2 linked regions of the Mus musculus genome follow. The protein of the gene in region 2 interacts with the protein of the main gene of each other region in a pairwise test. Links are inferred from orthologs where the notes say so. Each region holds a gene or a part of one and is shown on either strand. Other genes may lie near its edges.

Region 1 (3,519 bases), about 48 Mb from region 2:
ATGGTCCACAACGAGAGCAGGGTTTTTAAAGATGCGCTTAAAACACCTGGTTTTGAGGGGTGGGGAGATGCTCAGTAGAATGTGAGGATCCATGTGAACAAAACTGGAGATCCTGTCTCGAAAACAATGTTGGGGCCAGGAATATGGCTCAGCCGGTAAAGGAGCTTGAAGCATAGCCCGATAGCCTGAGTTTGATTCCCAGGACCTACATAACGGAGGAGAGAACCAACTCCTGGAGTTTCCTCTGCCCTTTGCGCTGGCTAGGTTGTATGCCAGCCTCACATAAGCCCGAGTCATCTGAAAGGAGGGAGCCTCAAATAAGAAAATGCTTCCAGAAGGCAGTATGCTTGCCTGCAGGGCGTTTTCTTAATCAGTGATTGATGGGGGAGGGCCCATCCCACGGTGGGTGTGTCATCCCCCAGCTGGTGGTCCTGAGTTCTATAAGAAGGCAGGCTGAGCAAGCCCTGGGGGAGCAAGCCAGTAAGCAGCACCCTTCATAGCCTTAACATCAGCGCCTGCCTCCACGTTCCTGCTCCGACTGCCTTTCATGATGAACAGGGATCTGAAGTGCAGGTGAGATAAACTCTTTCCTTCTCAAGTTGCTGTTGGTTATGGGATTTCATCCCAACAGCAGCAACCCTAACTAAGACACACCACACCCTAACTCCTGGTACACAAGCTGGACATTCAGCTCAGGACCCCACCCCAAAAAAAATTGACTTCTGACCTACACACACAGAGGGATGTATACATACAAAATACGTGGGTTTTTAAACCAAAGCACACAGCCTGTGCCTTAGTCTCTTTCCTGCCTTTTGCTCTTAAGACAACCCCAGGAAGCCCAGACCGGAACTGAAAAGATACTGTCCCAGAATCCCAGGCATGTCACTTGAGTGACCCAGGATGTCACTCCATCTCAGAGGGGCTGAAGCAGTGGTGTGACCACGTGGGTTCTGGTGGAGTCCCTGTCCCCACCAGCTCCTCCTGGCCCCTGGATGCCTTTCTTTCTCACATGAGACCGAAGTGCACCCGAGTACCACAAGGAGGGACTCTCTTTAGGGAGAAGGCTGTGAGGGAACCCTACTGCTGCCCCATCATTGGTTTGTTATGTACCAGCCTAGAATCACATGCAGAGCTCGGGGTTCATGAGTGGATGGGGGTGCCAGGCTGCCAGCCTCAGTCTATGCCAGCCCGTGTAGGTGCCTGCTCTGGTCTCTCTCTCTAGGCACAGCAAAGGCTACCATGGACAGTTGGGTTCATAAGAGTGTGGCTCCCACGGGACGATCACTGCCAGCCTGGTGACTGCCTTTGCCCAGCTGATGGTGGCACGGCAGGGCAGGTGTGGGTATGGAGGACACACTAGGAGGAAGCCTTGTGCACTGGTATATCTCAGGGTCCCATCCTTCAAGAAGGACTGGGAGGAGGGGCAACAGTACGAGGAAGGCCCAGGTGAGGAAACAGGGGTGCCTGGGGTACAGGGTGTAGTTCCCCTTCCCTCTCTTCCTTTAAGAACCATCATTGCAGGCTGGCGAGATGGCTCAGTGGTTAAGAGCACTGGCTGCTCTTCTAAAGGTCCTGAGTTCAACTCCCAGCAACCACAAGGTGGCTCACAATCATCTATAATGGGGTCTGATGCCCTCTTCTGGCATGCAAGTGTACATACAGATAGAGTGCTCATATACATTTAAAACAATCTTTATCATTGCCCCCATTGTCAGTCAAACCTCCTGGCCTGAGTGTGTGGCTTCTCCCTATAACCCCGCTATTTCTCGATCAATCTTCACACAGAAGACAGGACGGATCTGGCTCCCAATGACATCATTTCAATGCACAGCCTGTGGCAGCCCTCCTTAGGCTGTTCACCCATTCCTTTGTCCAGTCAAACCACTGTCACCCTTTCTTGATATTGACAGTGTACAGACCCCTCACTGGTGCCCACAGTCCCCTGCTCTGCCTTGCTGAGCTGCCCAGGGTAAAAGGACAGGAGTGGTAATGGCAAGCGACCTACGGTCTAGAAGACACCCCTCCTAGAAGCTGTAGAGAGCTTCTCTCCTTAGTCAAGCGGGTACTGACTTGAGTCAGGCTCTGTGTTATAGTGGGAACCAGAGTGGCCTCAGCCAGGACATCTGTTTACCCTTCCCAACAAACTGCTTGCTGAGGAAGCCCAGGCCTGGGGGTGAACTCACCCACCACCTCCTACAGCTGGCATGGAGCTGAGCCCCACTTTCTAGGCTTTCCTGCCATATTCATCCCCTAGGGAAGGGCTGGCTCTGCCACACATACCCCTGCCTGCCCCCTGCCAGCCAGAGACCTTGGCCTTCTCCCCCACCCCAATGCAGTAAGCGCTTTACTTACTGGAAGCAGTTCCTTTCTTCAGCCGTGCTCCGGAGGTACTGTCTCAGGGAATCCAAGAACTCACTCAGCTGCTCAGGGCACACGGCCATTTCCTGCCGGACCAGCTGCAGGTGCTGTGAGCCACAGTGGACATGAACATGCATGCCAGGGCCTTCCCCAGCCACGTGGGCATCATTTCAACCCTGGCAGCCTATGCCTCGCTTCGGAGGGGTCACAATAAAATAAACCCACTGCACTATTTTTTGTTTGTTTGTTTGTTTTTCAAGACAGGGTTTCTCTGTGTAGCCCTGGCTGTCCTGGAACTCACTTTGTAGACCAGGCTGGTCTTGAACTCAGAAATCCGCCTGCCTCTGCCTCCCGAGTGCTGGGATTAAAGGCGTGCGCCACCACGCCTGGCCCCATCGCATTTTTTAGTCTTAGTTGTGAAAATCAATCAGCTAAAGGTGACAGGTCCAAATGGGTCAAGTCCCTGTGGGGTCCCCACAAAGAGGGCAGTAAGTAAGAAGGCTGCAGGAAGCCCCACCAAGAGGCACAACCATGGACCAATGGGTTGCTTTTCTGGCAAATGCACCGTCTGATGACTGACAGACGTCAGTCTGCTTTTTTATCAGTCTCAGAGCCTCAGCTTACCATGCCTCTTGGGGAGGGGTGGCCAGAGAGGGTGGCCAGAGACATGGAGTCACCACCTCGGAGAGCTAGAGGAACAGGTCAGAGGAGAGGGGTAGAAAGGGTCTCACCATGTTGGTGCCTTCTTCATCCGAGAGGCGCTGTTGCAGGTCAAACGAGAGGGTCTAGAACAAGACAGTGATGTATAGATTGGAGGCCACCTCCAGAAAGGCTCCCAAGACTACAACTCAGGGTATAGGGTACCGAACACCTGGAGAGTTACAGTCCCTGCCCTCGTGTGCCAGGGGTTCTGAGATCTCCCAGGCTGGAAGCAGGGTTCCCAGGGCCAGGCCTAGTGGACAGGCTACTTAGTTCCCAGGTATAGAGAGGTCTCAGAGGGGACCCTAGAACCAGTGAGCCAAGGAAATGGCAGAGGGTTCCTTATGGTCCAGGCCTCTGAAGTACTGGGAGGTTCAGAGACCAAGATGGGTCTAAATAAACTTGGCGAATGTGGCTGGAGCCAGGAAATCTTAGTAACAGGCACCCTGGGGTCCCCCA
Region 2 (4,302 bases):
TAGCTTTCCGCTGTTTACACAGGACGAACACCCCAGTTGCCTGGTCACTGGGTATTCGACCCATTAAGGCCTCCAGTGGCTCCCACACCTGGGAGACTTGGTTTGTGGAGCCGAAAAGATACAGTTGAAGTTTCCCAAAACTACTTTTCCCCTGAGGCGGCGCCGGTCCGGTCCCTAGGGAAACACAGGAAGCCCAAGTGACCCTGCGATGGATGCGCGGTTTTAGGGGTGGCATCTCGGGACCTCGAATCCCCCACCCCTAAGTCCTCAAGAAGAACGAACCTGGAGCTACAGCAATCCGGGTCGAAGTTAGACCACGGCGACACAAAGCTCACGCGCGTTCACAGTGCCGCAGGTTCCACTCTGTAGCCTGGGCACCGCGGCCAGTCAATCAGGACTCTAGGAAGCCGCCATCTTCCTGGCCGGAAGTTTGTGCGGCGCTGCCGAGACACCTTCTGGGAAATGTAGTTCAGTGGCCCTCGGGACATGGAAGCTGATAGGCTGAGGCGTTCTGGGGGTGTGGCTTGGAGTGGCTGGAATGGGGCTGAAGATGGGTAATACTGGGAGTGGGTGTGATCTGTGGTGGATAGAAGCAAAATTGGGCGTAATTTGTAGTTCCGGTTTAATCACGCTATGGTTCTCAAGGCTTCTGCTGAAATAGGACAGAAGCCTGAGCTGGGCGGGGCCGTTTGATGATTGACGGGGTAGGACTTGGCTTGGACTTGCCAAAGGCCTTCTCAGTTACTTATGTAACTTAGGTTGGCATTCATTCACTAGTACCTTGATGAGGACTGGTGGTGCACACCTGTCATCCCAACACTCCAGAGACCCGGAGACGAAGATCGGGCGTTTAGACCAGGCTGGGCTAAATGAGACGCTGTATAAAAACTAAAATGTAAAGAAAAAGTAAAGAAGGCAGCAGACACACTGTGGACAAGCTTATTGTTGCCAGTGCCTCCAACCGCCTGATGCAGCAGTTCAGACTCATTGAAGAGAAACGTTGTGGGCTACTGAGCAGGTGCAGGCTCTTGCCACCAATCCTGAGGGGCCTGAGTTCGATCTCGGAGACAAGTAGGACCACCACAGACAAAGATGAGTAAAGCAAAGTAATGAAAAATAAAAGCTGTGCAAATGCTGAAGCCAACTCCTACAGTTTTGGTTTTTTTTTGGTTTTAGAAACACACACACACACACACACACACACACACACACACACACACACACACAAAGACCTTCACATTAGAGCGAGTCCTGGTGAACAGGGGACACAAAAAATCCAAAATGAAAATGGAAGGTTTGGCCTCGGGTAAGGGGATACTGATATCTTTAGAGCGGGACAAAGGTCCTGGTCCTCCATCCTCCTCCCGTTCTGGAGGAAGCCGGCATCCTGGAGAAGGAAACGAAACAATAACTGTCCATGTGATCAGGGTAGGGGGGCTTCCTGTTTCCCAGCCCCTCCCGGGCCACTTTTGGCTATCGCAGCCTCAGTAGCCAGTGGCCAGAATGGCTTGAGATATGCCCTGGATCTCAGGCCTTTCCCAAGGTGCTCTGGAGAAGCAGAGAAGAGCGCAGCAGGGTCAACCCCCAGGGTGAGGGAGTTTGATGCTAAGAGCCGTAGGAAGAAAGAGGATTTTAGGGTCCCTACCCAATGCTTCTATGGGGGGTGGGGCACAGATAAGAGAAACGCCTTCAGACAGCTGAGGGGAGAAGAATGCCCAGTAGAGATGGGGGATGGGGGAGTAAGGAACAAGTAGATAGTTAGTGGGCACTATTGGAGAGGTATATGAATATTTAAATGTGTCAATCGGAGTAGACACCCCAAAAATCCTACAGGAAACAAAAAAACAAAAAACAAGGATTCTAAGGTGACGAAGGCAAGAACTGAAAGCAGACTGTAGTGACAGAGGCAATGAGTGCCCGGGCCACACGGCCCCGAAGCCGTCGAGGGAGGCATCCTCTGCCTGTAAGTGTGCCCCTCTTCCTGCCACACTCAGTCCCATGGATCCTGGGAACCCAGGCCTGCTAGGCTCAGAGCCCGTGGTGGTGTAGGGGAGTCCTCCACAGGTGGAGCTGGATATGATGGCCAAGAGACTGTGTGTGTGTGTTGGGGGGAAACGGGGTTCATTCACAGGGGGAGCTAGACCCTGTAGCTGAGAGCTCAGAGGAAGTAGATGCCAACAATGGACGCTTCGAGACTAAACCTGAGCTGCATCAGGAATACCTTGGTCCTGGCCTTCAGAGCCCAAGGAACTGGTAGGATGCATTTAGTATGTACCCTATATTCTAGCCCAACACCCCAACACCCCCCCTGCACAAAGCTGCCTCCTGCCACTCACCTGCCCATTGCCTCTGCTGCCTGCCTCTCTCCTCTTCCTGTTTATCCTCCAGCCATGCCGCTCATTCCCTACTCTACCTTCCTAGCGACCCTAGGGTTAGCCCTCCAGGTCTCTTCTGAGCCTCAGGTGGCTGGGGTTCCCCCACTATCTTCACAGGATCAAGGAGGGTTGTGATGTGGGATCCCATGCGGTTCTATCCTTGAGCCCAGAAGAACAGTGCGAGCCTGAGGTGGAAGCCCACCAGGTCCTGCAAGAAGCCCCCCTGGATAGTGGCCCTGCTGAGATATCAGTACCCAGTGTGTATGAGACCTTGCAGTGCAGGCTGAGCTCCCTTGAGGCAGTTGTAGCTGCCTTGCGCCACCACTCGCTAAGCTTTCCAAAGTCAGTGGAAGCAGAAGACAGAGACCAGGGGGCTCCGGGGCCCTTTGGTGATGAGAAAGAAGACGCAGGACCTGGACAGCAGGAGGCTGCTCGCCTCATAGAGAGGAACGCCTGGCTGCGGCTAGCCCTGTGCAACCGGGAGGATGAGCTGGCATGCACTCAGGCTTCACTGCAGGACGCCCAGGCAGAGAAGGAGACTCTGCAGAGACAGGTAAGCTGGTGACTGGGGAAGAGGCAGATCCAGCCTTGGGAGCAGACACACTGATGTGGAACAGTGACAGATGTGCCAAGGAAGTGACCAACAGAGACAGCACAGTGAGAGGGAGAGCAAGGAAGACAGGCAGGCTGCACCCCATGATCTTAACACTCAGGAAGTCCAAGAGGGACAGTCTCCACTCAGGTGAGCCCTGGCTAAGACCAACTTTGTTCTCAGCTGTAGACTGAGTCCAAGGCTAGCCTGGATTACAGACCCTACCTATGTCAGTTGCACTACACACACACACAAACACACACACTAATCCTGTCTTGGGGGGTGTTTTTTATTTTTCGTTTTTTCGGATACAGAATTTCTCTGTGTAACAGAGCCCTGGCTGTCCTGAACTTACTAGGGTAGACTAGGGTGGCCTCAAAATCACAGAGATCCACCTGCCTCTGCTTTCCCAGTGCTGGGATTAAAGGTGTGAGCTATGCCAGACTTATTTTAGGGTTTCTATTGCTGTAATAAAACACCTCAACCAAAAGCAACTGGGGAGGAAGAGATTTATTTCATCTTAAGACTCTCAGGCCACACTCCATCACTGAGGGAAGCTCGGGCAGGAACCTCAAGGCATGGAGGGATGCTGCTTACTGGCTTGCTCCCTATGGCTTGCTCAGCCTGCTTTCTTATAGAACCAGGACCAACAGCCCAGGGATGGCACCACCCACAATGGGCTGGCCCCTCCCTCCCCATCAATTGTCAATCAGAAAAGTGTCCACAGGTCCATTTCGGGGAGCATTTTCTCAATTGTGGTCCCTCTTCCAAAATGATTCCAGTTGATGTCAAGTTCACACGAACCACCACAGATCCTGAGATCACTGTGGCTGGAACAGAGTGGGAGAGATGAAGGCGCGTGGGGGAAGGCCACAGTATGCAGGGTGTTGAAAGCTAGTGTGCTCTGGTGTGTGGTGGATTCTGAGGGGAACTGACCTGCTGCAGGCGTTCACTTGTGCCATCTGATGACTGTGAGCGGAACAGTCTGGCGGTGGACCATAATCCTGAAGGTGGAGGAGGGGTGAAGTGGCCCGGGGCGTTTAGTGGAGGTGACCAGAAACCTACAGATTATGGGTGATGTTAAACCCAGATATGGTGGGACAAGCCTGTAATGATAAGGACTTCAGAGGCTCAGATGAGAGGATCACAGTTTAACACTAGCTTTGACGAGATAGGCAAATGTCTCAAAACAAAACTAGGACAAGTAGGGATACAGAATCCTCCAGTCAGGGCTGTGGGCGTGACTGGGGGGGGTAGAGTGACAGCCTAGAATCCTCCAATGAGGGGCTAGGGGCGTGGCTTAGCACAGCTTTCAGAGACTTCTCACAACAACAA

Evidence for each region.
Region 1: the proteins of Ushbp1 (region 2) and Necab2 interact in binary tests that used the Homo sapiens proteins (3 or more experiments, as listed by UniProt). The two-hybrid records come from large-scale screens. The link is inferred for Mus musculus from reciprocal best matches to the Homo sapiens genes USHBP1 and NECAB2.

The regions. Positions count from the first base shown.
Region 1 is NC_000074.6:119,467,218-119,470,736, reverse strand, and holds part of Necab2 (N-terminal EF-hand calcium-binding protein 2), read right to left. Parts: intron 3,147-3,519; coding exon 3,093-3,146; intron 2,469-3,092; coding exon 2,356-2,468; intron 1-2,355. UniProt on the Homo sapiens protein: May act as a signaling scaffold protein that senses intracellular calcium.
Region 2 is NC_000074.6:71,393,001-71,397,302, reverse strand, and holds the start of Ushbp1 (Usher syndrome type-1C protein-binding protein 1), read left to right. Parts: upstream 1-1,501; 5' UTR 1,502-1,589; intron 1,590-1,833; 5' UTR 1,834-1,909; coding exon 1,910-1,963; intron 1,964-2,131; coding exon 2,132-2,253; intron 2,254-2,492; coding exon 2,493-2,928; intron 2,929-4,302.